Mus musculus: one gene and its partners. The protein of the gene in region 1 purifies or fractionates together with the protein of each later gene. This does not show direct contact. Links are inferred from orthologs where the notes say so. Each region holds a gene or a part of one and is shown in the gene's direction. Other genes may lie near its edges. The genes, in order: Pak1, Nck1, Git1 and Git2.

Region 1 (7,675 bases):
AAATTATATAACTCTTGTTTCACATTTCCTCATAATATTTTAGAGGATGATGTACTGCCTATGGTGGTCATAACTTGGTGCTTATACGTGCTTGACACTGTCAAGTTTTGTGCTCTATTATGATGTGTTTTTATTGTTTGAGATTGCGCTTTCTTTAGTGTATCAAATGTTCAGTCTTTCTGGATTCTTCAACTTGTCACTTGTTGGGATTCTTGGCTTTCCTTTCTCAGGAGCTTCAGGTGGTAGGCAGGAGAGGGCCTCACCCTCTGGCTCTGTCTAGTGATGGTGACCTACTTCAGAACTTGGACCATCTTTTTTCATTTTTATGCCTTTGATGTTGACAGAATCCACCACAGTATTCTAGGCACTCTGAAAATATGTGAAATTTATGTCCATTTATCTGAAAAATCCATATTGCCTTTCTGGTCCTACTACTAAAACAATAACAATAAGAACAACTACTCATGTTTTAGATCCACTTATCTTGAGTCTGGTTATTTTTGTCTAGCTTTATTACAGTTTGCATGGGAAAATCAAGTTGCTGCAGATCATTTGCAGATCTAACTAGTGGTGCAGTAAAGTTCATCCTGAGGCAGGACTGAAGCTCGGGGAAACCCACAGGGTCTGCCACAGCCATACCCTATAATATAATAGGTTCAGGAGTTTGGAGAAAGGAAGTGGGGGTGCTATTTAGACTTTAAGTTACTATATTAAGAACAAATAATCACAGTGATAAAGTATAGAAAATTAAATACTTTTTATTTTCCTCTTTACACTTATTTTCTGCTCTTTATAAAGAGTAAAATTCACAGAATAAGGAGAACCTGAACATGGCTTTGAGTATTTGATTGTATAAGGCAGGTAAGGAAACTATAAGCTGGCTTACTACTCTTTAGTCTTTAGATGGGAAAAGGAAGCTTTCAGAGTGAATAGATAGTGATGGCTAAGAGAGAAGGAAGCTGTCTGAGTGAGACAGCTGACTGCACAAAGATGGAGAGCCTTGGTTGATGACCTTTCAGAAGAGGTGTCAGAATTGACTACCTTCTAAAGAACTAGCAGACCTGGGATCTGGAGTTCTATGTCCACTGGACCGGTTGATTTTTGTCCTTTCTGCATAGAATGTGAAGACTGTGTCTGAGACCCCAGCAGTACCACCAGTGTCAGAAGATGAAGATGATGATGACGATGCTACCCCACCTCCAGTGATTGCTCCACGCCCAGAACACACAAAATCTGTGAGTCTCTGGGGATCTTGAAGGCTATACGATTTATTCACATAAGGGGTGGCAGAAGCTAGGGAGGTAGTGGTACTAAGACTGGTGCATAGGGGTCCATAGACTGGCACTGGTGAAGTCATTGAACTACTTTTTTTCCCCCTCTCATGTGAATGGTCTTGATTCATAGTGATCCTTCTGCCTCACTCTCCCAAGTGCTAAGATTACAGGCATGCACTACTGTGCCCAGCTGGACCACTTTCTACATGACTAAAGAGATGTGGTGTGCTTGTTATTTCAGTTATTCCTAAAGTTCTCTAGGTAATTGGTGTTTATATCAGTCTAACCTTGGTTTACCTACCCTTTTCTTTACTGGTTAGGTATATAGAATGGTGCATTTCACTTTCAGAATAAAATAAATTATTCCAGTTTCTTAGGAAGCAGTAAATTGCCAGAGATTTTATTCTTTTGTTTTATATTATGTAGTGGTCAGCCTCTCCAGCATTTTTGATAATCCTGAAAGACCTGGGAGAGTTTATAAATACATTAGTGCTATTAATATGCTGGACATTAGGAATGCATTTTGATGCCAGATATTGGTAGTGATTTCTCTTTTAACTTCCTTTGAGGTTCCTGCATTTTAGAATAGCCACACTCCCTCCTTCTGCACTTTGCCCACTCTGCAACTTTGCCTTTTGATTTAGCATCATTGAATAGTGATCTCCCATCTGATGATACTCTGAAATACTACTAATGTTTGTTTTGGCTGTTTAGTATGAGAACTCCATAATGAAAGAATCCTCTGAGACTTAAGCTCTGTGTTGATTAAATGTCTTAATGGAAGGTGCTGTGGAGGAAATTCAGTTAGATGGCCTACCTCTTAGCCTAAGAACTTACAAATAGAATCTGGATTTCCTTGTCTGTAAGTCACAAAGTTACCTTAAGGAAAGTAGCCTTCTAAATCAGTGAGCTGTCAATATCTCCCTAGAGTGTCCTGTTTGTGGTTTGCAGGCATATTTATTTAACAGTTTCTCTCTAAATCTTGAACTCCTCTAAATAGAAAAGAAATCTATTTACCTATCAGTCTATCCATCCTTCTATCTATCTATCTATCTATCTATCTATCTATCTATCTATCTATCTCGTATTTAATCTATGTGTTATTTATCTTTTTTGGTAATATAGTTTGGGCAGAAGGATCAGAGAGAGGTCAGTAAATATTGAATAATATATTGATTAATTTGCTTTTCTTAGCATTCTTCTCTAAAATAAATACTGCTAAGTCCTATTTTATAGAAGAAGCAAATGAGATTTGAGTCAGTAGATTGATCTATCCATAGTTACTTAGTAAACAAACTCCAGGGTTTGAGAGCAGATAATTAAATCCAAGTCCATATTGCATTCCAAAGTAGTGCACATATTATATATATTGTTGTGTGTGTAGGCATGCACTGGGAACCAGGTAAGGAGAATGGTATAGAGGGAACAGACAGAATATCTTTCCTCAAGGCAATATGATGGAAAAGCAAAGAAAGTTTAAGTAATTGGGATATAATTGTTCTACAGGTATAAGAATAAAAATTGAGAAATTTACTTTGCTAGAGTAGTCAGAAAGCCAGTCCAGTTGAAAGATCTGATATGTACATTTGTTAATTCATTCTATTTAAACACTTATCTGAATGCTTGCTTTTTATTGGGTTAGAGTTAGAGGACTCAGGGAGGAATAATATGTGTTCTTTGTCTCAGTATACCCTATAGATGATCAAAAAATAATTATGACTTTTTTAATGATAAAAAAATCTGATAAATACACATCTTCTAGAAAAGGAAGTGCAGCCTGGAAGTACTTGCTTCTTAACCTTAGTAGTATATAGTTGCTCCTTTCTTAGTAACATCTCTCCTTTGCTTTTGTAGCAGTTACTTTCTCACTTCCTTCTTCAGAATGAGTAGGGCAGTGTTTTGAATAGAGCTAGGCTTACCAGGGATTCTCAGTAAATATTTGTTAAACAAACAAATAAATAGGAAATACAATGTCTTTAAAAGCTGAGGTTTGAATGCTTAATATCTGCTGTTCATGGCCATGTCATTCACACATGTTGATTTATTATTAAATAAGGTGGTTATTGTCACTGTTTTATAGACAGGGAAACTGAAGCACAGAGGTGCGAAGTAAACTGACTGAAGTAATTCAGATAGTAATGTTGGCTGAGAATTAAGCCCAGGTCATCAAGTTCCCAAGTTTGTTTTAAATTTTAAAACAAAATTATTATATTACTATATCCTCCTGTCTCTTGATGAATAAAAGTAGTTCATGGTAAGCGCTAAACAGCTCAAGAGGGATAACTCCATAAAAGTGTTAAGTTTTGCAAAGTGACAGAGGATACAAATGAGTTTCAGCTCAGAAAAAAAGCAGAGTATTGTGGGTGAGAAAGGTTTCCATCTAATGATAAAATCTCCAAGTTTTTACTGAGAGTCACCTAGTGGCTTTGAAGTGATTTCAGTGCTAAGGCCATCACTAACCCTTCTTGTAAAGTGAGAGTAAACGAAGGTTGTTTTACCCAGGGCAAATGGGCTGGGGCTCAGAAGAGGAACAGTGCAGATTTTGGCCTTGAAGAGAAGGGATGAGTGGTGAAGGGGAGGTTCCTGGGATGTTCTAACTAGAACATTTACAAGAGGTTCCACTATGCTAACAAAGGTTGGCTTGGCTAAAATTTCCCACTGATTATGCAGGTATATACACGATCTGTGATTGAACCACTTCCTGTTACTCCAACTCGGGATGTGGCTACATCTCCTATTTCTCCTACTGAGAATAACACCACTCCGCCAGATGCTTTGACCCGGAACACGGAAAAACAGAAGAAGAAGCCTAAAATGTCTGATGAGGAGATCTTAGAGAAATTACGTAAGGACTTTATATCTTTCTTGAGTCTTCCCTTAGTCTGTGCCTGATTAATCATTGAGATGGAGTGCTACAATAAAGATCTGAATGCTCCTGGGCTGGAGAGGTGGCTCAGCGGTTAAGAGCACTGACTGCTCTTCCAAAGGTCCCAAGTTCAATTCCCAGCAACCACATGGTGCCTCACAACCATCTATAATGGGATCTGATGCCCTCTTCTGGTGTGTCTGAAGACTGCAACAGTGTACCCACATAAAATACATAAATAAATCTTTAAAAAAAAAATCTAGATCCTAGGTTTAAGCCATGTGCCTGGCTGGCTCTGTTTAATACCTGAACTATGGGCTGTACTGCTTACTCATCATCTGACCTTTCACCCCTTCATTGTTTCACCAGCTCTGGGTGTGCATTACCTTAGGGTAGAGACATAATAAGAGAGAATGTGGGCAGCTCACTTTGAGGGTTATGGGCATAGCTAAAGGCTTTTATTTTGAGAGTAGTCTAGAGTATTGTATGGAGAAAGATTGAGGTATTGACTGTGTCTGGTGGAAAAGGGTGCTCTTGTTGATGCTTTCTAACCCTGACCTAGGAGAAGACAGCTCTGCCTGCCATCATGGTTGTAGAAAAAGACGGGAAGGGAGACCAATGTTTTATCATCCTGTTCTGTGTGACAAATGACAAGCAAGATAGTTTCTTGAATTTTTAAATTTTATTGTAGTTGCTCTCTGAAGATACTCAGGTAATCCTCATTTATGCAGTTAAGGTTTTTTTTTTAGACCCAAAGAATCTATATCCTGGTCCAGATCATAGAGCTGCAAAGTGGCACAGCTAAGGTTAGATCAAGATGTGTTTTGTAAAAAGAACATATTGCCTATTGCAGTAGGTATAGGTTGATTTTTTTATTTTCATTTTTCTTTGAGACAGGGTTTCTCTGTGTAGCCCTGGCTGTCCTGGAACTCACTCTGTAAACTAGGCTGGCCTCGAACTCAGAAATCCACCTGCCTCTGCCTCCCAAGTGCTGGGATTAAAGGTGTGCGCCACCACTGCCCAGCCTAGGTCGATTTTTATTTTCTATTTTATTTTATTTTATTTTATTTTATTTTATTTATGTATTTATGTATTTATGTATGTATGTATGTATGTATGTATGTATGTATGTATTTATTTATTGGCTTAGGAGACCATTGAAAAAGGATTTGATGTGACTGGCTTGATTAAGTTTGTATGCTCACATTGCTTTCTAAAGCTGAGGTTTGTGGTTCTTTAGTTTAGTGGTTTCCTATTTCTTGCTAATAATTCTTGTTTAACTTTTTTGTTTGTTTGTTTGTTTAATTTATTGTCTTTAAGAATTGTTTTTGTAGCCAGGCGTGGTGGCTCATGCCTTTAATCCCAGCACTCAGGAGGCAGAGGCAGGCGGATTTCTGAGTTCGAGGCCAGCCTGGCCTACAAAGTGAGTTCCAGGATAGCCAGAGCTATATACAGAAACCCTATCTCAAAAAAAACAAAAAAACAAAAACAAAAACAAAAAAACAAAAAGGAATTGTTTTTGCTAGGGCCCTCATATGAGGAAGTAAACCACTCTTAGGCATCTGTGTAATCACATGCACTCCTGTCCTCTAAACCAAATTTTTTCCCTAAATAGTAATACAATGCATTGTAAGAATATTCTGGCCTGGACAATTTCCTCTGTTCTTTGAGTCTCCTTTCCTCTTCATACCTTTTAAATAGTGATATTTACATTTGATTTGTTTTAAATTAAAGGATATAATAACATACGTGAGAAGTACCAAATCCTAGTGGTTGGGGTATCAGTGGAAAAGCTAGTAGGGCTGAGAGATTTAGAACTGGACTCTGGCACCAGTTGATAGATGAGTTTGGAGAAGTATCTTTCTTCTGTGGGTTTTAGTTCCCCGCCTCTAGAATACTGCTGTGAGACCTGTGGCCTCTCATGCTTCTCTGTTTTTTATTTAAAGTATCCCCTGCTTAAGAGCTCTCTTGGCTGACTTGTACTTACAATAAAAGTCAGCTCAGACAGTGCCTTTCTGAAGCCTTTCCGGTCTCTTCCCTATCCCGTCAGCACTCACTACAGCAATCACTGTATTTTTATAGCACCTTCCGTTTGCTTGTCTTTTCCATAGATTCAGCCTCTTGAGAGTAGTGACTGTCTTAATGTGCCTCATCTTTCTCTTTATCTGTAGCACTCAGCATATAGTCTGGTATGTAATAAATGAATAAATGTTAACGAATTAATTTAAAAATGATTAGCTCTTAGAAGTTTAGAAGTGGAATAAATTACTATTAAAAAGAACACAGTCAAGGATATAATACTTTTGGTTGGGATTTATTGGGGAAAAGTTAATTGCCTGGCTGGTATGCTTTTGGGGAACTGGACACAAAAATTTATCAACTTAGGGAGTTAAGAGGATCATGGGATCTTGTGTGTATCTTGAGCTGGAACAAAATGATTCATGGTCTCTGTTTCTTTCAAAGGGAGCATAGTGAGTGTGGGTGATCCTAAGAAGAAGTACACACGGTTCGAGAAGATTGGACAAGGGTTAGTAGCGGCATTCTGTTTCTTTGGAGAAATGTCTTAAAGTTGTATTTACTGACATGTATGAACTTGCTTGGTTTTGGTGGTGGTAGTTTTTGCCTCACCTATCTGGAAGTTTGATACTAGGATGACTTCCAAATTTTGCAGAATTATGCCTTATATGAGAAATGTACGATTACCTGGCCTTACTAAAGTACTCCTGCAGCAAGAGTAAACGAGTCACCTATTGTCTTAGCATAAAACCAGTTTTTCAAACTATAATTAGTTTTCTATATTAATCCTATCTGCCCAAGTATTGAGACCTATCATCACTAGTATGAAATTTAAGGTCCAGATCTATAGAGTGTGTAGTAGTGAGAAGGGATCTAATTTTCTAGCTTGGTGACAGATTTTGTGACTGTTACTCTTTAGTTTCATCTCCATAATGCATATGCTGTCTCGCACGATTGAACTCAGCAAATCTTAACTGAGTTCTTGTTGTGTGTTGAAGTGTGAATATGGATATGAATCAGACACAGTCTGCCCTCAAGGATCTCACATCAGCAGGAGATAGAAAGGCATATAAAGAATTATAGAAGTCAGCTTTTGTCTGGAAGGAGGAGGTCAGATGGGACAAAGAAAAGGGGAATAGAGAAATCGTGCAAGGAGCTTAGTGGTGAACATGAGTTGTATACAAATATTAAAATCAAACTGTAGGCTTATGATTTAATGCAAAATTTTAGGTAAGTTATACCTCTATATGAAAAGTAAAAATAATGAGATTTCTATGGAAATATGTCAAAAGACATGAAATGTCAAAGAAACTAAAAAAATTAAGTTTGGCTCATAATAGGTTCTAATTGGAACAAAGTGGTCTTTTTTGTTTGTTTGTTTGTTTTTTATTTATTGGAAAAGCATTTTTTTAATTAGGTATTTTCTTCATTTACATTTCCAGTGCTATCCCAAAAGTCCCCCATCCCCCCCCCCCACCCACCCACCCACTCCCACTTCTTGGCCCTGGCTTTCCCTTGT
Region 2 (7,675 bases), on another chromosome or scaffold:
CTTCATGAATTAGATTAGTGCCATTGTGTAAAACATTTGCAAGCTTGCTTATTTATCTCTTACACCATGTGAGCACTGAACTCTAAGGAGTAAAAACCTCATTATTTAGTCTTTAGCTTGGACTTCCAGCTTCCAGAACTATGAGAAACAAATATTGGTTAACTGTAAGCTGTGTGACTTACGTATTATAATGAGCAGGCAGAACAAAGGAAGATAGGTGGAATTTTGGGGGAAAGTAATATTGATTCTGAAGCTGATCTAAAAGAAAGGATCTAATCCTTGGTAATTATCACGTAAATGGTTAGGTGACTTAATACTTTAAAAATTATTTTGTAAAATATTTTTGTATTAACCTTTGTTGATAGCAGATTGTAATGTCCATTTTCTGGTAATAGAAACAAAGTTGTAAAGCAGGAAAATACAACCTACTGTTACACATACATTTGTTTAGAAAAATGTATTATAGTTATTTATTGTGTGTGCACACCATGCACGTGCACATGAGCACTTGTTTGTTCATGTGCATACCGCAGCACAGATAAGTAGGTTAGAAAACAACTTATGGATGCTTGTTCCCCATTCCATCATGCCGGATCTCCATTCCATCATGCCGGATCTCCATTCCATCATGCCGGGTCCCCATTCCATCATGCCGGATCCCCATTCCATCATGCTGGATCTCCATTCCATCATGCCGGATCCCCATTCCATCATGCCGGGTCCCCATTCCATCATGCCGGATCCCCATTCCATCATGCCGGATCCCCATTCCATCATGCCGGATCTCCATTCCATCATGCCGGGTCTCCATTCCATCATGCCGGGTCTCCATTCCATCATGCCGGGTCAAACAGGGTCATTAGGATTGGTAGGAAGTACTTTTACTCACAGAGCCATTTGCCTCCGTTTGTTCTTTTTTCTGGTAAAGATTAATGGAACATTTAATATAGGCGAGGCACTGGGGATAGAGAGTGGGGAAAAGCAGGATGCTCGGCCTGTATTTAGCATTAAGGTGAAAATAAAAAAAAAAACTGTAATAGTAAAAGGAGAAACACATAGACTCTTTGGGGGAGAGGAAAGGAAATCTTCAGTGAGTAAATACATTATCTCTGCCAAGTTTTGAAGAATAGATGGGAGTGTTCTAGTGGTTATAAGAAATTTGTTCTGCCTGTGGTATGTTATAGTAGTAGTTGGAGAGGAGGAGGCATGTTGTTGAAGACATGTTCACAGAGATATGGAGAGCCTCTAGTGTATGGAAACTGTACCATGCCCTTAGATTTCTTCCTTTAAATATTTCTCATCTCTAGATTAATGCAGATTGTTTTTAATGTGTTCTCATTTGAGATATTAGTTGTTGAATTTTTCTAGAAATTCTTTATTTTCTGGTAATATGTAATCAGAATGCATATATAATTGGAATATCTATAACTAGTTATAGATATTTTCTTTAGGATTAAAAGTCATTTGGATTAAGAATTTAATTTTCAGTGAAAAGTTTAAAATATTTTATTTCACTGTACTATTTACGCTGTATGTCCGCTCCATATACAGTTTTCGATGGTGTAGTGCATGCAAAAGATTAGTAAACCATGAACACTCCTCACTGAAAGATATGCCTTGTATTTGATTTAAAAACAAAATAAAACAAAAAACTCAGTACAAAAAAAAAAAAAAAAAACCCAAACTATTATACAGTTATTTGTGAAGTACAAGATCCGGGACGTTTTAACAAGAAGTGCTTAAATGTCCTTGGGTGGGAGGGTAGGTTGGTTTGAATCTAGGTATACTATCAGTGATGAAGAGGGACTTTCTTCCTTTATGCCTCCCCATCTTAATTCCTCTATTACTGCTTCCTTTGTGTTTCATTTCTTACAATGTGCTGTTTTCTTAATCTGTTTCCTTTTGTAGTTTTTAGGTTTTCCTTGGAAACTACCCTGGAAATTACAATTAGCATTTTGTTTTTAACAAGTTTAAGTCATTCCCAATGTGGTTTGGATGGTATAAATAACTGTTCCTTATATCATTATATATTATCTCTTTATACACTGCCTACTTACTTAGGCTGAAAATATGATTTATGTATTTTTAAATCATATAGGAACAAAGGAAAAAAGTTGGGCTAGTACTGACTTTATATTTACCATTGTTGTTTATTTCTTCTCTGTTTTTAAAATTTATGAGCTTTTAATTACATTTCCACATTCACTTTCTTCCCTCCAACACTTCCCAAGCACCCTTGCTCTGCACCCTCCTTGAAATACACGGTCTCTTTTTCTTTAATTGTTGGTGGTGTTGGTATGTGTGTGTGTTCTTAAATATTTAATACAATCTGCTCATTCTGTATAGTGTTACTCCTATGTATGTTTGCAGGGCTGACAATTTGGCATTGGAGAATTAACCAGTGTGCTCTTCTTGGGGAAGGTGTCTGCTCTCAGCATTCCTTAGTTGCCTGTATGTTGTTCTTTGGCTAGGGTCGAGGCTTCTTGCACTTTAGTTCACATTAGCTTGTCTCTGTTGGTGGTATTCTTTTTTCTTGCTTTGTATGACTTCATTTTTTTTCTTCTGTCTGATGTCTTTTTTATTTCCATCTAGAAGACTATTTTTTACATTTCCTTAAAAAGCACAAGTTTATTGGTGATGAGTTAAGAATGTCTTAAGTTCTTTATCTTTGAGGAATTGTTTGATTATTTTTTGTAAAGTCTTTATTCTTATTCATATGGCTAATGAAATCTGTTTCATAGCTAGTATTTTGACATTGTTTTCTTAAACATACAGAACCAAAAGAAAATGGGGAATGGAAATCTCCATTTTTATAGTTTGGCTGTATGCTTGTATACTCTTTTAATATTTGGCCAAGCCATTTACAATTCTGTCTTGGACTTTACCTACTAAGTTGTAGGTCAGCAGAGATAAAGATCAAGGTGGGTTTTTTCTCTAGACTTTTCCATAGCATCCGTCCAGCCCTGATCACATTTGTGATCATGTTGGTTCCTGAGAACATACAGGAGCTTTTAAGTACCTCATTTCCCCATGTGTTACCTTTCTTACTATCTTCCTTTTCCAGCTTTTTGATTTTTCTTCATTGTCCCAATCCACCTAGGAAGACAACCTAGCTCTGGAATCAGAGGTCCGAGGTCTGTTAGGTAGCTATCCTCAGAGTAACTGCACTGGGGGAGGGAGACCAGTAGGAAGGCCTCTTTCCTGCTTCAGCATCTTAACAGAAGCAGCGCTTTCTTCACTGAGCCTTGCCCTGCCACTTCGCTTTCTTCACCAGATTCCATGATTTACAAAATTGATACTGACAGTGCTTGCCATCTCATTAACTGATCTTTAGAGGAAGTCCTGAAATTTCTACTCTGCCATTTTTAGTGATGTCACCCTGCTGTAAAGATTTCTCATAATGATGACCTCATTAGCCAGAAGTAAGGAAATTAAGGACACAGTTGATTTAAAGGTATAGAAGGATATTTTTTTTAAAGGAGGGATCATTTTTATTTGGACATGAATACAGGTTTGAGGTGTTGGTTACATCTAACAGTGTCTGTTGATAGAACTCTTAGTGTTAAGATTCCAGATAGAGCAAGGGTTTAAATCTTCAAGTAAATCTGAAAAAATCTATAGAAGTTAAAAGGAAAGTATATGGGGTTTTTTTGTTTTTTTGTTTTTTGTTTTTTAATGTAGAGAAGGCCAACTATGCCATCTTGGAAAAATATTTTCAACTAAGGACTTACTAGTTCATTCATCAATTACTTTCTCCTGCTCACTAATATATAAACTATAGGCACTGAAGATAAAGGGGGAAATTCTAGTTTTCTGTCCCTAGGAAGCTGACTCTTCTATTAGGAAGCAGACAAGTAATAGAGTATAAGACATTGTTACAGCAAGGCTCACAGGGGACCAGAGAAACACAGGAGTGAGCAAATGTCACGGTAAGAGGGGCAGCATGAAAACATGGAGAGCTTGCCTGTGATCTTATTTTTCATATGAAAAGATGAAAAGGCCAAAGAGGCTAATAATTGTGTGTTACATATATAACACATTATATGATCTGGCTTTGGAAACTAAGAAATTAGTAAATGAGATTACCCAGATATAATTTTATATGTACACAGGTACTAATTTAAATAGTTGTTTCATTTTTATACAGCTCGTTACAAAATCTTGGTCAATAAACTAAAATGTCCAAGTGTGGGATTATTAGAGTGTCTGTCTTCTTAGTTGTAGCTATGAAAGAAGTAAACCATTTTAACACGAGAAAATTCAACATGGCAACTTTATTATTATGCAGTTATTTCTTGGCTTTAGCAGGAGAAAAGAAGATAAACTTAATAGTTTATTTGGCTTGGTTATGGAAGAACAACTTGTATTTCATTTCCCAAAAGATGATCCATCATGTCATAGTCTGTTTGCTACATTTAGAGGCTTGGGTAAGGTAAGTGAATCAAGTTGAAGCTATAGTCTTATGGCCTCCTCTTTATTTAAACAGGTATTGGAAAAGTGAAAAGAAAACCCAGTGTTCCAGATACTGCATCTCCTGCTGATGATAGCTTTGTTGATCCAGGAGAACGTCTCTATGACCTTAACATGCCTGCTTTTGTGAAATTTAACTACATGGCTGAGAGAGAGGATGAGTTGTCATTGATAAAAGGGACCAAGGTGATCGTCATGGAGAAATGCAGTGATGGATGGTGGCGTGGCAGCTACAACGGACAAATTGGATGGTTTCCTTCAAACTATGTAACTGAAGAAGGTGACAGTCCTTTGGGTGATCATGTAGGTTCTCTGTCAGAGAAATTAGCAGCAGTTGTCAATAACCTAAATACGGGTCAAGTATTGCATGTTGTACAGGCTCTTTACCCGTTTAGCTCATCCAATGATGAAGAACTCAATTTTGAGAAAGGCGATGTAATGGATGTTATTGAAAAGCCGGAAAATGACCCAGAGTGGTGGAAATGCAGGAAAATCAATGGCATGGTTGGCCTGGTGCCAAAAAACTACGTTACCATTATGCAAAACAATCCATTAACCTCAGGTTTGGAACCATCTCCTCCACAATGTGATTACATTAGGCCTTCACTCACTGGGAAGTTTGCTGGCAATCCTTGGTATTATGGCAAAGTCACCAGGCACCAGGCAGAAATGGCATTAAATGAAAGAGGGCATGAAGGAGACTTCCTCATTCGTGACAGTGAATCTTCGGTAAGTTGATTTTCAAAGGAAATGAAAATAGAGCTCCATGCATTAATAAATAAGGTTGGAAAGGTTGAGTGGCTGGCTTCCTTAAGCCAAACTGAGGTGTGATCATATTGTTCTTTCCAGCGTGCCTGTTTTGAGTAAGATATTGAGTACTGAATATGCTGTATTAAGAGACTTTCTTCAGTTGTATTAAATTTGCATATCTGGAATATTTCTGTCCCATTAAACTTAAAAATGGGGCAGGCTGAGCATTGGTTTCTTCCTGGAGAGTAGGATGATGCAAATTAACTGCTACTAGAGATAAGAAAGCCGTCACTGTAGTTCTTGCAGGAAATCTCTTAAATATAAAAATTGTTTCTTTATAAATTAGTTGTTTGATTAAAATCTCCCTCTTTTTTTTTTTTTTTTAAATGAGAGAATGACTCATTGTATAACTCGGTCTGCCCTGAAACTCACTGTGTAGGTAGACCAGGGTGCCTTGAACGTATAGATTTACTATATCTGACTTAAATTATTCACCTCAACCTGCTTAACACCATTTAAAATATATTTGCAATAAAAGGTAAATTATGTTGCAGTACCAGCTAGACAGTAAAGCCATACAAATTGAAAAATGACATCATTAATAATCTCTTAAAAGTGTTCCTTTGAATGTTAAAATTTGACAGTTGTTTTTTAAAAATTCTTTTTCCTGATAAATCACTGCTTTTCTGTTTATCAGATCATGGTTAGTACTGGTTTTTTGTAAATACATTGTACAGAAGGTTGAATGAGATACAGTGGTGTGTGTATGAGACTGAGATAATTGAACCTCCTGATGAAAATTGGGAGAAATCTGGCCTTTAGCCTCTCAGGAGTCAGAGGGTTGCTAACAGACAAGATAATGGGAGTCCATTTTCTTATTAAAATCCTGATATGCAGAGCATACCATTTAAAAGTCACTATTCGTGACTTGACATTATTCAGAAATATTAGGTTTAAAATGACACCTGCAGCTGCCACCACCTAATTAAGAAAAAAGCCGGGCGGTGGTGGCGCACGCCTTTAATCCCAGCGCTTAGGGGGCAGAGGCAGGCGGATTTCTGAGTTCGAGGCCAGCCTGATATACAGAGTGAGTTCCAGGACAGCCAGGGCTGTACAGAGAAACCCTGTCTTGGGGATGGGGGGGAAATTTAGTTGAATTTTTATTTGTCCATTATTTTTGAAAATACAGAGTATTATATAAGTCAGTTACTGTTCACTCTGAACTGATAGGAGATGGAGTGAAAGTCTGAAATTTCTGATGTTTTCTCTTGGGCTTCTGAAAACTACTTTTTGTGTTCACTACTTTGTGGGTACTGTAGATAACTGTTAGGAGACACTAGCACCCTATTACCAGGTAATGGATCCTAGGCATGCTCTCTGAGCCTTATTTTTCTCATTTATATAAAAAGGGTTTATTTTGAGGAATAAAGAAGAGTATGTAAATAATTTAGTATAGTGTCTTGTACTTATTAGTAAATGTTCAGATTTCAGCAGTTATTTTTTATCTTACCTTCTGATACATGGCTTTCAAAATGCTTACTTCCCCCTCCCCCTTTCTCTTTTAGCCAAATGATTTCTCAGTATCACTAAAAGCACAAGGGAAAAACAAGCATTTTAAAGTCCAGCTGAAAGAGACTGTTTACTGCATTGGGCAGCGGAAATTCAGCACCATGGAGGAACTTGTAGAACATTACAAAAAGGCACCGATCTTTACAAGTGAGCAAGGAGAAAAATTATATCTCGTCAAGCATTTGTCTTGATAGTGCTCGTCAGCAGTGACTGTTCCACAGCTTTAACTGGTCATGTAACTGGAGACTGAGAAAGTGCTGGGCCAATTGTACTTGCTTGGAAAGTGCTGTTTCTAACTATATGAGAATTGACTATAATACATGAGTATTTTTGTTATAACTCAGCCCATACGTATATACTACATATGCAGTGCATCTCTATAGAAGAGTTCTTTATTCTTGGTCTTACTGTTTTCTTTGCTGTTTTTCTCTTTCCTTCCAACAATGAAGGTTTTGTATTCTGAAACGAATAATTTGGTTCAAAATCTTTATATGGAAGAATTCTTTTATTGCTGTTTCTTTATTTCCTTGTAAAGATATCCTGTTCTCCCATAGTTCCTCTTCACATAAAATTATATCTATATGGCATATGATAAAGGACATTCTTGTAAAGTGTTAATCTTTTCTGTGACTAAATAGCAATAATAAACAGAAAATAAGAAATTATTTTCAGATATTGCATCTGTCACAAGCCATTGTAAATATCAAGTATGTTGTTTGTGCCTTAATTTTTAACAATCCATTCATTGTATCCAAAAGACACCAGATAATAGGTTAGAAAACATAATTTATAGCCATTTTAAACAAAAATACAAGAATTTAGGGAGTGTCCCCCACACCTCAAGTACCCCCTTTCACGGGATTATTCATGAGAAGAGAGCAGTTTG
Region 3 (8,419 bases), on another chromosome or scaffold:
AGTGACCCTAAGAGAGATGCAGGGCATCAGTACCAAGGGTCACTGAAGCAGCCAGGGGTCTGAGAATCGAAATATTTCTCAAATCTTTGCTCTCTCAGAAAATTAAACCCCAGCTTCCACACATCACGTTGGAAAAGAGAATGTCTAATGAGGCGAAGAAGACAGTCTTTCCCCTACATGGCTCAGCAAGAACCAGGATGAGGTTGAGCAAAGACAGCAGCAGGTGGCATTTCCCCACCTCCATCCCATGTGGGTCCCTGCCTAAGGAAAATGACTGAGTCCAGATTGCCTGCTTCCTGAAAGAGCAGAGAGACAAGCGCTTCCACAAGGAGCCCTTGCAGAGAGTGTGGTCAAAGTCAAATTGGCCTCTGTGGCGGCCACCTGCAAATGGTAAAAGGACCAAGATGCCTTGGGAGAGAAAATGTCAAGAGAGTTGTATTTAAATACCGTAACAATTGCTTGATCTTAAACAAATTGCTTATCCTTCAGAGTTTCTCGGCCCACTCACCTCTAAACTGGGATCAGATACTACCTCATGGGATGAGCTAAGGGTATGAACTGCCTGAAAACGGCCCCTCTCTCCTTCAACCAGCCTGAGACAGGTGGTAGGAGCGAACATGTTGCCTTCCTCGAGCCCACCTCAAGGCAGAAATAAGGAATTCCTGGCCAACCCGATTTAGAACAACAATCTAGAGAGTGTTTGTGTGGGAAGCGACAGCAAAAGCTTGCAAACTCCTTGCGCCCTTCTTGGGTTTCTTTGTGTGTTCTTCTCTCCTGCTTCCTGCACACCCAGTGGTGCCAGGCCCGGGAGGACTGAGTAGACTGCCTCGCCCCTTTCTGCAGCCTGGGAGGAGCCGGTAGGCGTCTCTGCAGCCCAGAGCCGCAGCCCACCTCCACCGCCAGGGGTCAGCAGAGTGTCGTGATTGCAGCCCGAGTTGAGGAGGGGGCTAGAGAAAGGAGGGGCAACTAGGAGAGGCCGCGAGAATGCCTGTACAATTCCTCATTAAATCGTTTTCAAAACCTTGTGTATGATTCCATTTGAGCTGTTCAGTTCCTGGGATGATGACATCTTCGGGGAAGCCAGAAACCCTTCTTCCCCCATCTTCAAGCTCTAAAGCTTGGCTGTGGTGAGGTTGGGGGTTCTGCAACAAAGTTTGGACTGTGTGAGCCAGGGTCCCTCCCAGGCAGTCCCTGAGCCAATAGGGAGATAGGGTGGCCGGGGTGGGGGGACGTGAATCATTCTTCCTCTGCACGCCCTGTATTCCAAGAAAGGAGAGAGGCCAGCATGCATTTAGAGGCTAGGTTGCCCTTTTGCCAGATGGCCGGCTATCACACGAAGCCCAGGTCGCTTTCCCTTTGGTCTCAACGCCCTGGCTGCCACGTGCTCCAGACGCGCCCACACAGCGAAGAAACAAAGGCAGCCAAGCGACGGGGCTGCCAGCAGCTGCCTCGACATTTAATAAATGAAATTCCATAGCTGGGGGTCGATCCGGGGTGAACGGGCGGCCACTGCTCCTGGGCTGCGCGCCCAGTTTCAGCTGCTAGACTGCTTCCCACCTCCATTGCTGCGGCCACCAAGCCTACAGACTCTTGGGTATGAGTGCAGCATGGTGTGGCATGACCACCACCCTTTGCTGGCAGAAGCCCCACCTGCTGAGCTACTGGTTGGGGGTGGGGGGTGTCTGCAAGATTTTTTTTTAAGGTGAGATTATAAATATATCCTGTGGATCACAATTTCAAACAAACTTGTCAATCTGGGTTGCAGCAAAAGGCGATGGAACTTTGCGTGTATTTTGGGTGGTGTGACTCATAAGCATTACTTGTCTCCCCCTAGGGAAGGAGCCTGCCCACCCACAAGTCACTGCTGCTCTGGCATTGCTGGGAGAAATAGACCCACTCAGACACCCCTAACCAAGGACTCCCCTCAAACCTCCGTTTTATTACTGAGCAGGAATCCCTAACACCCAGGAATCTCCCTTAACTCTGCCACCGCTGACCTGCCCCTTCCCCTACGAGCGCGCCGCCGCCCCTCACCCCCCCCCCCCCAACCTGGTGTTGTGTGCTTTTGCCCTCTCCATAAGCTGAGTTCTCTGACAGCCCTTTTGCGGCTGTAGGGGTGGGGGCTGGGCACAAACGGGTCACACGTGTATGGGGGAGCATGCTCAGTGTGGGGTGCACCCACGTGCAACATGCACTTTAGTTCCTTGCTCCCCCCACCCCCGTCTCCATGAGAAGTCCAAGAAAAAAAAAATCCTTACAAAAATTGGCTCCTGTTATAAGCATATGCTTAGGATACATACACACCCGTCGGGCAGCCCGGAAACATCGTTGATGTACACGAAACAGATAGCAAGTTATTACTGGTGCACACAACACTCTTAATAATCACCCAGATTCTTTGCTTTCCTATTTGAAACAAGAATGATGTATTTTTAGTCCCACAGAGAGGGAGTCACAGTTAAGTGACCTCTCGGGCACCTGGCCGTCCATATTGGTGGTAGTGAGTGTACACCGCAGGGATATGGCCACAGACCCACCTGGACACACTGACTTGGACACAGGGGACCAGAACACACACCTCACCCCAACCCAGCCTCTGACCGCTAGGAGCATTGTGCCTGGGAATGCTTCCTGTCCACCCCGATCCCCACCACGTCCGTCTCTCGGTTTTTGGGCCGAGCGTCCCCTGGACCACTCCCCAATCGGAAAGTGAAGGTCAAAGTGCTAGCGTGTGTCTCGGTTGCAGACCAGGCGGGCGCGGGCCGCGGCTCCTTTAAGAACCCCCGTCCACTCCCGCCTGCGCGCAGGCTTCCTTTCTCCGAGAGGCTCAGCCACGGAGCTGAGCGGAGCGCCGGGGCGGGGTGCGGGCCGCCCCTCCCCCGGTGGGCAGGGCTTTCACTGCTTCCTGCAGGAGCGGCCTGGGCCGCGCAGGGGGCGGGGAGAGCGGCGAGCGGCGGCGGGGCGGCGCGGGGCGGCGCGGGGCGGCGCGGGGCGGAGGGCGCCCGAGGGCGAGCGGGCGGGCGGGCACGGCGGGTTCCGGGCCAGCCCCGGGGGCGGACGGTTGGCCGCGCGCGCGGAGCCTCGCCGGGGCCTTGCGGGAGCCGGGCCGGGCCGCAGGGCCGCCGCCGCCGCCCGGGCCCGCCGCCCGCGCCCCCCACGCTGGCCCAGAGGGCTGCGGCCGCGTCGCCGCTGAGGATGTCCCGGAAGGGGCCGCGAGCGGAGGTGTGTGCGGACTGCAGCGCTCCGGGTAAGCGGCGGGATCGGGTCGGGGGCGGGACCGCGCCGCAGGCCGCCGCCGGGCGGGCGCCGAGGCCTGGCGGGAGCGCTGTGCCGGGCCGGAGGGCGGGGCGGGGGCCACTGCGGAGCGGCGTCCTTGGCGGGAGGGCCGGCTGCGGGGGGCGCTGTGCGTTGGAGCCGGTGAACGGGAGGGAACCGCCTCCCACCTCCATCGCGGCATCCAGACGGAAGCGCCAGCCTGGTGTGGCAGGAGGGCTGTGGCGGAGGCCGGCAGGCTGTGGGAGGTGGGCGCTAGGATGGTTTGTGTCATCCCTGCCACCCCCGCGTCTTGCACCTGCTGCTCACATGGCCCGCGTGCCCGCCGGAGCGGTGGAGGGCAAGGGGCCTGGATACGAGCTCCTAGGGAGCACCTGACAGGGGCAGCTACTCTTAAGACTCCCCGCCCCTGCTTCCCAAGGCTGGGGCTGCTTAGAGGGCCCGGTGTTCAGGAACAATCTAAGCATGGGCATCTTCCCCGGAAGCATCTCCAGGCCTGCTGGTGTCTGGGAACATCTAGACTCAGCTTTTCCTGTTCCGGGTAGGCCTGTTGGAGAAGGTGTGCTAGGTATTGGTTCAGTCTAGACGCCGATCCCTCCTGGTCTCTAGCTCATTGGATAGGAGAAAGCGGTGAGGTTGCTTATGCTCCCCTGGTCCAGCTGACTCCTGAGCGAACTGGACTTACACACTGCTTCCTCCCTACTAACCAGCAGAGTGAGTCGGTCTGAGCTGCTGTGAAAGCCCCCTTGGCTTGCTGAGGAAGTGAAGGGAGGGCAACAACTCACCAGGCTGGTCCCTTCTCTGGGAGGACACAGCCGTTGATGGGACTCAGCAGCTGGCTGGAGGCAGGAAGTTCTGGCCTTTGCCCATCCTCTATAAAAGAAGCTGTGTCTCCATACAGTCTCGGGGTCTTATGGACTCTGGGTAATGAAGATGTGATTAGGTGAGAGTGTGGAGTGCTGATATGCAGGCCCATAACTTGTAGTCACCCCTTAAAATCCCAAGATCTGACCGTGAGCCCAAGGAATGATGGTCCTGTAATTCTCATGATCTAAACTGGAGTACTGGGAGTTGTGGGTAGTTGCAGAGTCATGAACATGGGACACCTTGTAGGTGACTGACCCTGAGACCTCCTTAGGATATGTCACGGTTTGGAGGGTCCTAGAAGATCCGTTTACAGATGGACATCCATACCCCTAGTTAGCTGGAAATGACGACTCCCTTTCCCCGGTTGGCCTTGAATGGATGAGCGGTGTGTCTGTGGAGCCTAGCAGGCCCCATCAGGGGAGCCAGGGTCAGGTAGTAGCTTTGTTTCCAGCTTATTCTATGATGCTTTGCTCACTCTGGGTCTCAGGTGGAACAGAAATGGATTTTGAGGACCCTTGCATTTCCCAGTCTACATTCTTGGTTCTGGAGCAGATAGAGTCTGTGACTGGCTGGCTGCAGCCTCTGGACACCCAGTCGGTGCTGGGAGGAACAGGGTGTGTTAGATGTTAGGCCACTGAGCTCATAGCCCCCATCCTCATGTGACAGAGGCAGGCCTGCCTCAGGATTCTTTTCTTTTCCTCTCTCTGATGCAGAATGCAAATTACTAAGCAGATGGGCAGAGCGTTGACAGTCTTCCTCATTATCCCACCTTAGCACCTAGTGTGTAGTGTAGTGATTGCCACGTGGCAGCCATTCCCCAGGTACAAGTGTTGGTCTTTGTCAGGAGTGCCCTGTGCCACACTGGGTCTGACAGACAATGGCATCCTTGATCTAGGCCTATAGCATCCCAGACAAGAGAGCATAAGCATGCCTGACCTTCTCATATCCCATGCATATGATAAAATATAGTCCATATATATCCCATTATAGCCCAGAGTCACAGAGTCACTGTGATAGAACTCTGTTATTGTCTGGGTATGGTAGGTAGCACATGCCTTTAAACCCAGCACTTGAGAGACAGAGAGGCAGGCAGATCCCCAGGCCAGCCAGGGCTATGGAGTGAGATCATGGAGTGGGGTCATGGTGGTTTTGTAGTTTATTAACTTGGAGTGTGATAGAGGTAGGAGGTGAGCCTGTGCTCAGAGACAGGTGTGACTATGTTGCAAGGACACAATGTGGCTGCTGTGGCAGCTTGTGTCACCTTACCAGGTGCTGTGCCCCTGCCTGCCTTGGGAATCCAGGAGAGGGCAGGAGTCAGGGTGCACAATCACAGGGTGATTGTCCCCTTACTTTGCCTCTGCCTACTCTTCCTCATTGCCTTGGTCCCAAGAACTCTGGCCTGGCTAACAAACGTTCACTTCCCAACCCACCACCTTTACATCGGGCCTTACATTCTGATAGGCTGGAGGAAAGATCTTCAGATACCCAGGCCGTAAGTCACCAGAGCTGGGGAATATGTTGCAGGGCAATGTACAGACTCATTTGCCTTCTTACAAGAACAAATATGGTAGTGGTCTTTTGTTTGAGGGGGGGTGTGCAGTTTAAGACAAGGTCTCTTCTATATGGTCCTAGCTGTAGAAACTCACTCTGTAGACCAGACTGGCCTTGAACTCTGACTCACCTGCCTCTGCCTCCTGAGTTCTGGGATTAAAGGTATGCACCAGCACTGCCCAGCTGGCTGTATAGCCAGGTGAGTGTTTGTCCTGTAGTCTGTCTTTCTGTCTTTTTTTTTTTTTTTTTTTTTTTTTGTGACAGGATCTTACTATATAGACCAAGCTGGAGATTCACCTGCCTCTGCCTCCTGAGTGCTGTGACTAAAGGCATGCCCTACCATGCGTGGCTATCCTGTGGGTTTCAGGCATATGTAAGCCTATGTGGCCACCACTCTGCCCAGTGAATATAACATTTCCATAGCTCTCTACAGCTCCCACCTCTGACCACACCCCCAATGGAAACCTCCTTCCCCTTGGATTCCTCTTGCCTGCTTTTAGCACAGTTTTCTTTTCTCGCCTCTTCCAAGGGCTTGACCCTTAGCTTAGAGGGGGAGAGGCCTGAGCCTGGGCTTTCTGTCCAGGCCTTCTGGCCCTTTGCTGGCCTAGTAGCTTTTGGTGGTGGCATGAGTTTTCTTTTTTTTTTTTTTTTTTAATTTATTTATTCATTACATGTAAGTACACTGCTGTAGCTGTCTTCAGACACACCAGAAGAGGGCGTCAGATCTCGTTACAGATGGTTGTGAGCCACCATGTGGTTGCTGGGATTTGAACTCTGGACCTTCGGAAGAGCAGTCGGGTGCTCTTACCCACTGAGCCATCTCACCAGCCCCGGCATGAGTTTTCTTTAGAGACCTTCCTATGGTTGGCACCAGTTATCTTATCCTGATGTCCCTTCTGATAACCTGGTCACACTAGCCCTCACCTGCCTGTGGAGCAGCTAGAGGAAGACACTGCCTTCCCCAGGCCTCATGTTCCCTACCCTCCTGCCCAGTTTGCAAGGAGCTTCTTAGAAACCCTTCCTGGCCCTTCCGTTTCAGATCTGGTGGAGGTGGGGTTTGCAGCTCCGTTGGCTAGCCAAGGTCATTTGGACCTAGAGTACAGGTAGAATTGTTAGACACAGACTTCCTATCTGTGTCATCCAGAACTGAGCTGGCACCAGTGTGACTAAGATCAGCAGTGTCCCCTGCCCTCCCTTCCTGTTGGAGGTCACAGCAGGGGAAAGGAGGACCCTTCTCAAGCAGGGAGAAGGTGCCAGGAAGGCTTTAGAGCTTGAGGCTCTGGGACCACTGGCCCAGAATGTCAAGCTGGTTCCTGTAGGCCTGGCTTCTCCACAGGGCCACAGGCCTCGGGTGGAGGCCTCAGGACTGGCCGCTTCTGATCCCGGCCTGGGCGTCTCCCCACTCACAGGAAACCCTACCTCTTCAACAAGAGGAATTTAGGCTGCATCATTTCCCGCTTCCTGCCTGGGCTGCAGGAGGTGACTGGCAGGCAGACCCCCTGACCCAGTGGTGTTTGGGAGTGGGGGAAGGGAGTTTTCCATGCCCTAGGGGGGCGTGGTTCTCATTGTTTGGGTAAAACCAACACAAAAGTACTCTAGGGCTCCCCCTCTTGGCAGAGGTGGCTGATCTCTTCCCCAGTTCTTAAAAGTCATCTCCTGGGAAGGTGTGTGGTGGTCACTGTACATCCCTCCTTGCCTTGTTTTGTGAGATTCCAAAAGAAGCCCGAATCCAAAGACAGCTTTCACTTCCCATTTCCACACTGTACTGGGGGACACCCCCAACATGGGCAGCAGTTCAGCCCTGACTCAGTCTGCTCATGATTCTGGGAACTCTGATGGTGACGTTGGCTCCAAGGGCCCAAGAATTGTCTTATGGATGGGAGAGATTACTCTAGCCCCTGAGAGCCTCCACTGCTGAGCATCCTGAGTTCTAATAAGGCGAGGCAGAGAGCCAGCCCCATCCCCCAGAACAAGGCTTCCTGAGCCTGGGTGGGGGCCTGGGCAGAGCAGAGTGTCCTGGAAGAGCGACTCCCTGCCCCCACTCTGGACAGCACACAATGGCCGCTTTCTCCCCCATGACCTTTCCTTTCTGTAGCCTGAGCCCTGTGCAGTTGTCTCCTCCCCTTTCCAGAGGGACTTGGTGTGGTGGCATCTCTCCTACCCTGAGGACCCAGGAGCTCCATCCATGAGCCCCCATTCCTGTTTCCCAAGTTCATTTCACCCCAAGGACTAGAGAGTGGCTCCCCAGACTCATCCTGAGGCTGTGGGAGCAGAGGGCAGCAAGTTTAGGCTTGGCCTGGTCTCTGGCAGTGAGGTGTCTGGCTCTGCATTCCAGCAGCACTCCTTATTAGCTGTGTGACCTTGAGCAAGCCCTTTGACCTCTCTGAGCTGTTTAATCCTCATCTGTAGAGCAAGATAGCACTTCCTGTAAGGAATCATGGGCTGAATACTTGGCTGTAAACGCTGAGTACTCAGACAAGGTTAGTCCCGTTGTCCTGAAGGCCACAAACCCACATTGACTGTGGCCTGAGGCTGGAGCAGGCTGTCAGATGGGGTCTAACAGGAGCATATCCAGGACTGTGTGATGTGTGGCATCGGGGTTCCTGCCTCCCTATGGAGTGGCTGGGTGGCAATATTAATCCCTGAGGAGAGGCTGTGAGACTGATCGCCGTGGCTGTGGGATAGGAAGCTGTACCCGCTGAGGAGCACTGGGGACCCTGCATTCCCA
Region 4 (7,675 bases), on another chromosome or scaffold:
GCAGCCTGGATTTGTCTGAGTTGGCAAAAGCTGCGAAGAAGAAACTTCAATCTGTGAGTATCTCTTCCCTAGGAACCCCAGTATGGAACCCTTGTTGGTCCCTGTTGTCAGTCAGAGTTACCTATTGCATCATAGTAGCTAAATTAGACACATGCTGTCTGGTCTGAATGCAGTAACCAAGACCAAAAGCACTTTAGTATATCCAGGCGGCTGACTACTTCAAACAACCCGTGATCTTTTCTGTTAAAAATGCAGCCCTTGCCTGTGATGGTAGAGAACCAAAGTTGTGGGTGTGTCTTGGGGTCCTGGGGTGTGTGGGGCACCCCTTCTTGGCATTTGTTACGTTACTCACATGGGATACCGAGGACTAATAGTAGCTGCTGGTAGGGCAGTGAGTCTAGACATCCGTCCACTGCAGTGCTGTGACTCCTGCCCATCAATCATATGCCGTTCCTAGAGCTTGGTAAATTTATGCTGCGGAGAGCTTGTGGCCTGGACCCATTGTGTGTGCTCAGGGTTTACCCAGCCCTGCAGGTCACAAGATCACTTTACTCTTTGTCTTCCCGGCAAGAGGCCCTTTGTCTGTCTTTCCCATGATGCCTCACCAGGTGCTTTCTGCTCACCTTGTGAGATTTCACTCCTTACCTGTTCTCAGTGGTCCCTGCATCAGAACCAAGAGCCTTGACTTCTCTCTGTGACCTTTAAAGACCCTTAGGCACCAGCTTACTTCCCCTCTGGTTAGGTGTACGTGCATTGTTGGAGCAGCTCTGTGAATCAGCTCTCTTGAGGGCAAAAGCCACTGCCTTGGAGCCCTGCTTCAGGACGTGTGCCTGCATGTTTGCCTTGTCTGGTTCTGGCTCCTCTTAGACTTAGAACTTGGTGCTTCCATGTGTGAGCAAAGCCCGGTTTCCTGCCCTGTGGTTTCCCTCCTTCCCTTTCACAGAGATTTTTAGAGCCTCATACGATATCACTATCACATAAAGTGGACTTATCCTTCCTAGTACTTAATTATACTGTGAAATAAATGTTTTATGCAATTTGTTTGGTGTCTCTGTGTTCTGTATCTATAGTTGTGTGTTTGAGTGTATTATGCCTTTCTTAAGGAAGCCACCTAGTAGATAAATAAGATGTCACGCTTTCGAGGCAGCGCAAGAGTGTGTGCTTTCCTTGTCCTTACTGTAGTTTGTAAGCAAACTTGTACCTGGCATCAGACTCCTCCTTGCTCTGTCTGTTGGCTGGGCTGGATACCACATGAAGCCTGAGGTTATGGGGTGGGCATTAAATACATACCTTGGGTATAGTTTCCTATGCCCTTAAGACCTTGGGCTGTCTGTGTGTCAGGCTTGCCCAGCTCACGGCAGCCCCCAAAGCACAGCCTTCCAAGAGGAGCGCTGGGAAGGGGACACTGTCGGGCATCCCTGTTGGGCATCCCGGCCCTCCTCCGGGTAGGTGTTGCTCTTAGCAGCGCAGGGCAGCACTCAAACCCCCACTCCACCCTTTTCCATCCTTCTCTTTCTTCCTCCTTCCCTTCCTGAGTCTGTCTCATACTCTCTCCTTCCTCCCTAGTGAAAAACTGAGAGAAATATAACAGAAAAAAAAAAAAAAACAATGTATTCTTGGGTTATGAAAATGTCTGTTCCTCGATGTCCTTGTCTGTAAAGTAAGACAGTAGTGAACTCTGTCCTGTCCTCGCTGCTGGCTTTGGATGGTGTCCTTAGCACTGTGTCTAAGATGCCACTGGCCCTGAGCAGTTCTGCCATGTGGCCACGAGTGACAACAAAACAGCTTTCAATCCAAACCCCTGCAGGGTCCTCAGTGAGCGCCTTCTGTGGGGTTTATTTTGAATGATCAGTTAATCCGAGGGCACTAGGGAACTTAAAGAAAGATGGGACCATCCTCAGTCACCTCGCTCTCTGCCAGCGCATGCTCAGCGCTTGGCATATCCCCTCAGCCTTTATTTCCTACGCATACCATTTTTTTCTTTCTCGAAACTGTAGTAGCAGAATTTCATACTCTGCTTTTTTACACGGGGCACGAGGCAGTCAGTAAAGACACAGGATGCAAAGCAATAAAGAGGCCATAGTCCTCGAGTTGCAGGATGACAGAGGAGCCAGACCCCAAGGCTGGGGCTTCAGCCTGCCTCCGTGGGGAGACCTGGATAGTCCTCCAGTTCCTGGCTGCTGTATGAAAGTTTGGTCTGTGGGGCTGTGCTATGAACTGCACCCCAAGCGGCACTGGGGTGGGGTGGCGGCCACGCTGTGCTTTGCTTGATAGGAAGCCTCTCTGCGACGCGTGTTGTTACACAGTGGCACCCTTCCCCACCCCAGCAGTGCAGCCATCCAATCCATAGCCTTGCACAACCTGGGCAGACATCCTGACGCTGAGCCCCGTCGCCATCCCCTTCCTGTTGTAGAGCAGACATAAGTTCTCCGGACAGCAGACTTCTGGGGTGCTGGCTGACACAGGGAGCAGGGGGGACTTGTGTATGAGAGGGTTTGTAACAAGTTACTCTTGCCTTCTTTGTGACAGTAGCCTGTGTGTCAAAGAGCAGGGCCTGAGAAATGCTGTTCTAGAGCTGGCTTTGAGTAGGAACACCCCCACCCCCACCCCACCCGCCCGGAGATGAAGGGTGAGGCCGGCACAGGCATGCTCCCATGTTAACTGCTGTCCCTGTGTCCCTGATGTGTTTATTTTCAGCTGAGTAATCATTTGTTTGAAGAACTTGCCATGGATGTGTACGACGAAGTTGACAGGCGAGAGACTGACGCAGGTGACGTAGCATGCGGCCTACCTACTCCCGGTGGGCGGCGGCCAGCTGCTGGCCTGGGTTTCTTCTTGTCCAGATGCCCCTGTCCTCATAGCCCATGTGCAGAGACGTGCTTTCGCGCGCGTTGGCTTCCAAGTGGGCTTCCCCGGGTCTCCCGCCCGGTGCATGAGCCGTGCCACCGCGGGGGTGCTGAGATTCTCTCTCGGCTCCTTTCTTCCGGCTAGTCTGGCTTGCCACGCAGAACCACAGTACCTTGGTAACCGAGACGACCGTCGTCCCTTTCCTTCCGGTCAACCCTGAGTACTCCTCCACACGAAACCAGGCAAGTGGCTCTGTATGAAGAGTTACTAATAGTATTATTTGGGGAGTGACTGATGGCATGATATTTGGTGTCCTTGTGGACATACACGGAAACAGACGGTGTGAGAATTGGTAAGAGAAGTACAAACGACACACAAACGTGAGGAGAAAGGATAAAAGATCGTAAAGGAGACTCCAAGTTGTCGGGGAGCATGGGGGTCCCATGCCACTGCCTAGCTTGTGGGTGGCTTGTTGGCTTCTGGTGGGGTCCTGTTGCTCAGGAAGCTGGAACAGGGGGACCTCAAGCTGGCAGCTAGCCTGGGCTACATACCAGGGCCATGACAGAGATGGTGGAGAGAACGAAATGGGGTAATTTGTTTTCCAGTTGATCCAAAGCCTCAGATGTACAAAGGAGTCCTCAGTTAAGGCTATTTCCAATAAAATCAAAGCAGACACATACATGTGGTTTCCACCCTTGTGCTGTCTATAACCACAGAACACTGAAGGGAGCCTCAGCCTCTGACAGGAGGGAGAGAAGGAGGAGAGGGGTTGGTGCTGAATAATGGCTGACTGTAAGAGCAGACCCACTTTATCCCTAAAGTCAGAGATGTCCCTCCAGATTCACTTCTCACGCACTGCAAATTAAATCACTGGTACTAGAAGTTTTCTATTCTGGTAGCTCTGAAGATCAAAGTCAGGGCCTGATCCTTGCTTGTCAATTGTCCCAGCAGTGAGCTATACAGCCAGAACCATTTTATAATTCATTACAGTAATCTCTGCTGTAGAAATGGAGATGTTAAGTCCTCTGCCACAGGAAATATTAGTGTTGACTAGAGAGTGATGGTGGCTGAGATTCCATGATTGAGCTGGGAGACCCTTGCGTCAGCTGCAGTCCTGGGCACTCGTTGTCGCCCTTCGCGCTTACATTCTTACACTGGGTAATATTTCCCATTCTCTTCTCTCCCTTAGGGCAGACAGAAATTAGCTCGGTTTAACGCCCACGAGTTTGCTACGCTGGTCATCGACATCCTCAGTGATGCCAAGAGGAGACAACAGGGCAGTCCTCTGTCCAGGTCAAAAGGCAAGTGTCCAGCCCAGCCCCAGCCGAGAGCACCTGGGCCTTCTGGGATGCACTGTGGAGTCCCGAGCTGGAGGTGATGGGGCAGTCATAAGAACAGCCATCCTGAGAGTCTCCTCACTAATAGACTATGACAGAGAAGTACCTGTTGGAACCCTGAAGAATAAGGCGTACCTCAAAGTTACTACGTATAATTCACATTTATTTTATATGTATTTTTTCATAATCACTTATTTTCCCCAAAAATTGGCATGTTGAAATTAACCCAAAAGCCTAACTCTTAAATTTATTAAGGACATAAAGTGAGGCGATGGAGACTCTTGATGGCAGCTGTCACTTAACTCAGAACCCCTGCCTCTGAATAAGTACTGTTTACTGCTATAATTTTAAATGTCTGTAGCGAGAAGCCTTGGGATGTCCGCTGAGCATCTATTTCAGAATGGCTCTTACAGGCCCTATCTCCAGACGTAGGGCCCGCTTCCTCCTAGCCAGCCCTTAAGTTTGTTCTTGTTTTTTTTATAGATACAGGAACTATGCCTTTTTATTTTGAGGTACTTGAACAAGATGTTTGTACCATAAAAATTAAGGTTCCTGTCAATATCACACTCCCCTAAGGCAGGAATTATTAAGTAACAGTAATTTATGTTTCTTCTTGATTGTTGAGGAATTTGGTCCTATCAATCCAGCCAGCAGTAAAGATGCTCTGAGAAGTGGCATTAAATTGGTGAGGTTGCAGTCTGGAGAGGTTTTGTATAAACTTGAAACCTCAAAATATGCCCACTCTAAAAGAGAAATAATGAGAGATTCCATATTGTGTATAATGTCAAAAACATTAGAAACAACTAAATAATAAATTCTAGAGAAACAGTCACATGATTAATGTACAGACATCTCCTGGAAATACTTCATGGTGTGGAGTAAAACAATACAGTCTTTAAAGGTTTGCTATAGTCTCTGTTTTGTAAGGTGTGTGTATTAATATAAGTAACTGTACAGGGAAAGGTGCCTTCCCCAGATGAATATGCACATGTGGTTGCTCCTCGACAGCAGATTTGATGCTTGTCTGGATGTCTGGCTGAGGCTGAGGCTGGTACCCTCCTGCAGGTTTCAGTTTCATACCCTGTCACTGGCCTCGCGTAGACTGCTCAGTGCCATGTTTGCCTGTGTTCTCATACTTTTTGTTGGTGATTTCACTGCTCTAACAAAGGCTCTGAGCACAATGGGAAGATGTTGAACAGTGTGCCTGCATGCAAGAGGGCTAAGGAGAGGTTCGTGGGAAGCTGTGTGTGCACAGTGAGCATCTTCCTGGTGTGAATGGAGTGGCCTCAGACTGTGGTCATGAATCCACGGTATGTGTCACACAGGGTGTCCTTAAACAGAAGCGTGTGTGGACTGGCTCATGATAAGGCTGTGACTGGCGGCTCTCAGGAACTGTAGTCCTTTGTCTCAGTGAGTGACAAGCTTTTAGCCTGTATTCACTGAGGACAAGCCTGTATGTGTGCATATATGCTTAGAACAGTAACTAGAAGAAGCAGGCCAGCGTGTCTCAGCCTGGGTGATCGCCACTGTCCCTCACGAGTGGTTACAGCCTCTGTATTCAGTCTTTGTACCGTATCTCTGTATTGGCATGCTGGTGGGTTTTGTTTTGTTTGTTTTGGTTTTTGTTTTTTTTTTTTTAAGACAGGGTTTCTCTGTATATCTCTGGCTGTCCTGGAACTCACTCTGTAGATCAGGCTGGCCTTGAACTCAGAAATCCGCCTGCCTCTGTCTCCCAAGTGCTGGGATTAAAGGCGTGCGCCGCCACCACCCGGCCATGCTGGTGAATCTTAAAGATTCATTGTAAAAGTTAAAATAGGACCGCTATATCTTAAGAAATCAGAATTCACTGTCCAGATGAAGCTGTCTGTAAAACATCTTTGGAAATTGGAGCTTAACTTGAGTTGCCTCAAATAAACCAAAAATGTTTGGGGATTTCTGAACACTTATTCTAAATGTGCAAGAGTGTGTAAGTCACTGCTCCCCGTCTGTGGAATGGACACTACTGATAATGTAGACACGTGTGTGTCTACTTGGTCCAGTGTCCCCTTGTCTGTCTCACAGCCTGGATGTATATGAGTGACCACTGCTGTTCTTGTCTTTGCACCTGACTTCTAGGCTGGGTGTTTTCTCTCTTTTTTTTTTTTTTTTTTTTTGGATTTTTTGAGACAGGGTTTCTCTGTGTAGCTCTGGCCGTCCTGGAACTCACTGTGTAGACCAGGCTGGCCTTGAACTCAGAAATCCACCTGCCTCTGCCTCCTGAGTGCTGGGATTAAAGGCGTGCGCCACCACTGCCTGGCTCACCTTATGTTCTTATGGCTGAAGCAGTGCCCTGTGCATGCAAACCTGTGACTTCCCCCCTCAGTCTGGCAGCCACCCCAAGGGGTGTGGCTGAGCTCTGTGGTGAGTGGGAAGCATTGGAACTGCTCTGTGTGACTGTCCCTTAAGCCTCTGCGGGCGTTGCTCTTTCTGTCATTTTCTTCACCCTTTAATGGCTAAACCAGAAAGTCACCTTAGTAGTTTTTTAGAAGGAAAAATATATTTTAACTCTGAAGTAGTTTTTCTCCTTCTGTGAACAGACAATGTGGAGCTCATATTGAGAACAGTCAGTACCCAGCACAGCACTGAGAGCCAAGACAACGACCAGCCAGACTATGACAGTGTGGCCTCCGATGAAGACACAGACGTGGAGACGAGGGCAAGCAAGGCAAACCGGCAGAAGGTGAGAGGACACACCTCCCACAGGACAGACGTGCTCCTCCTAAAATGTGTTCTTGCCCTGGGGCTGTAGCTGAATGGTGGAGTGCTCGCCAGTATATACAGGGCCCTGAGTTTATTTCCCAGTGCCACCAGAAGACACATACACATGGCAGAAAAAGTAAAACTGGCAGAAGGGTTAGGCCTTGGAAGGTGCTGTGAGAGGGCTCAAGTTAGGCTCACTGCTAACTCAAGCCAAGCAAAGATTAAATAAATGCTCTTAAAATAAGGCCCTGTCACTGAGCAAGTGAAGGATCAGCGTTGACTCTAGGCTGAGGTCAGGACTGGAGGCTTCTCTGTGTCCCAGTGTGCTTAGCTCCTCCCCTCATGACCTCACTGATGGGGAAGCAGGGGACAGGAGACTATGCACTGCACAGGTGGTGCGCATCGCAAGAGCAGACAAGCTGGAGGTTAGGAGTTTGGAAGAGAGAGCATCAAGGGAGGAGCTCTTGACAGTACAGGGCTCTGAAACAAGGCCTCATAGATGTGCTGTCCTGCACCCGCGTAGAAGGCAGAACAAGAAAGCCTGGGCTGGAACAGCCTAGAAGAGCCCCACACTGTGCAGAGACTCTGGACAGCACAGTGAGGACCTCAGCTCTAAAGGGCATTGCAGCACGGCCTCAGGGCTCAGGCCAGTGGGGCCCAGGGAGAGAGACAGGGCACTGTTGAGTGAACAGGGGACAGGGCCAAGGGGTCTGCAGGCTGAACCCTCAGGACAGACTCAGATAGGCACTCCA

Evidence for each region.
Region 2: the proteins of Pak1 (region 1) and Nck1 purify together in Homo sapiens (affinity purification with western blotting; 8 studies listed by BioGRID and IntAct, with this or other methods). This does not show direct contact. The link is inferred for Mus musculus from reciprocal best matches to the Homo sapiens genes PAK1 and NCK1.
Region 3: the proteins of Pak1 (region 1) and Git1 purify together in Homo sapiens (affinity purification with mass spectrometry; 6 studies listed by BioGRID and IntAct, with this or other methods). This does not show direct contact. The link is inferred for Mus musculus from reciprocal best matches to the Homo sapiens genes PAK1 and GIT1.
Region 4: the proteins of Pak1 (region 1) and Git2 purify together in Homo sapiens (affinity purification with mass spectrometry; 5 studies listed by BioGRID and IntAct, with this or other methods). This does not show direct contact. The link is inferred for Mus musculus from reciprocal best matches to the Homo sapiens genes PAK1 and GIT2.

Annotation. Positions count from the first base shown.
Region 1 is NC_000073.6:97,882,354-97,890,028, forward strand, and holds part of Pak1 (serine/threonine-protein kinase PAK 1), read left to right. Parts: intron 1-1,118; coding exon 1,119-1,235; intron 1,236-2,399; coding exon of another isoform or gene 2,400-2,423; intron 2,424-3,944; coding exon 3,945-4,119; intron 4,120-6,603; coding exon 6,604-6,667; intron 6,668-7,675. UniProt on the Homo sapiens protein: Protein kinase involved in intracellular signaling pathways downstream of integrins and receptor-type kinases that plays an important role in cytoskeleton dynamics, in cell adhesion, migration, proliferation, apoptosis, mitosis, and in vesicle-mediated transport processes.
Region 2 is NC_000075.6:100,494,782-100,502,456, reverse strand, and holds part of Nck1 (cytoplasmic protein NCK1), read left to right. Parts: intron 1-4,486; coding exon 4,487-5,199; intron 5,200-6,785; coding exon 6,786-6,980; 3' UTR 6,981-7,675. UniProt on the Homo sapiens protein: Adapter protein which associates with tyrosine-phosphorylated growth factor receptors, such as KDR and PDGFRB, or their cellular substrates. Maintains low levels of EIF2S1 phosphorylation by promoting its dephosphorylation by PP1.
Region 3 is NC_000077.6:77,490,388-77,498,806, forward strand, and holds the start of Git1 (ARF GTPase-activating protein GIT1), read left to right. Parts: upstream 1-3,024; 5' UTR 3,025-3,195; coding exon 3,196-3,247; intron 3,248-8,419. UniProt on the Homo sapiens protein: GTPase-activating protein for ADP ribosylation factor family members, including ARF1.
Region 4 is NC_000071.6:114,744,657-114,752,331, reverse strand, and holds part of Git2 (ARF GTPase-activating protein GIT2), read left to right. Parts: intron 1-1; coding exon 2-53; intron 54-2,697; coding exon 2,698-2,770; intron 2,771-2,991; coding exon 2,992-3,089; intron 3,090-4,036; coding exon 4,037-4,148; intron 4,149-6,760; coding exon 6,761-6,903; intron 6,904-7,675. UniProt on the Homo sapiens protein: GTPase-activating protein for ADP ribosylation factor family members, including ARF1.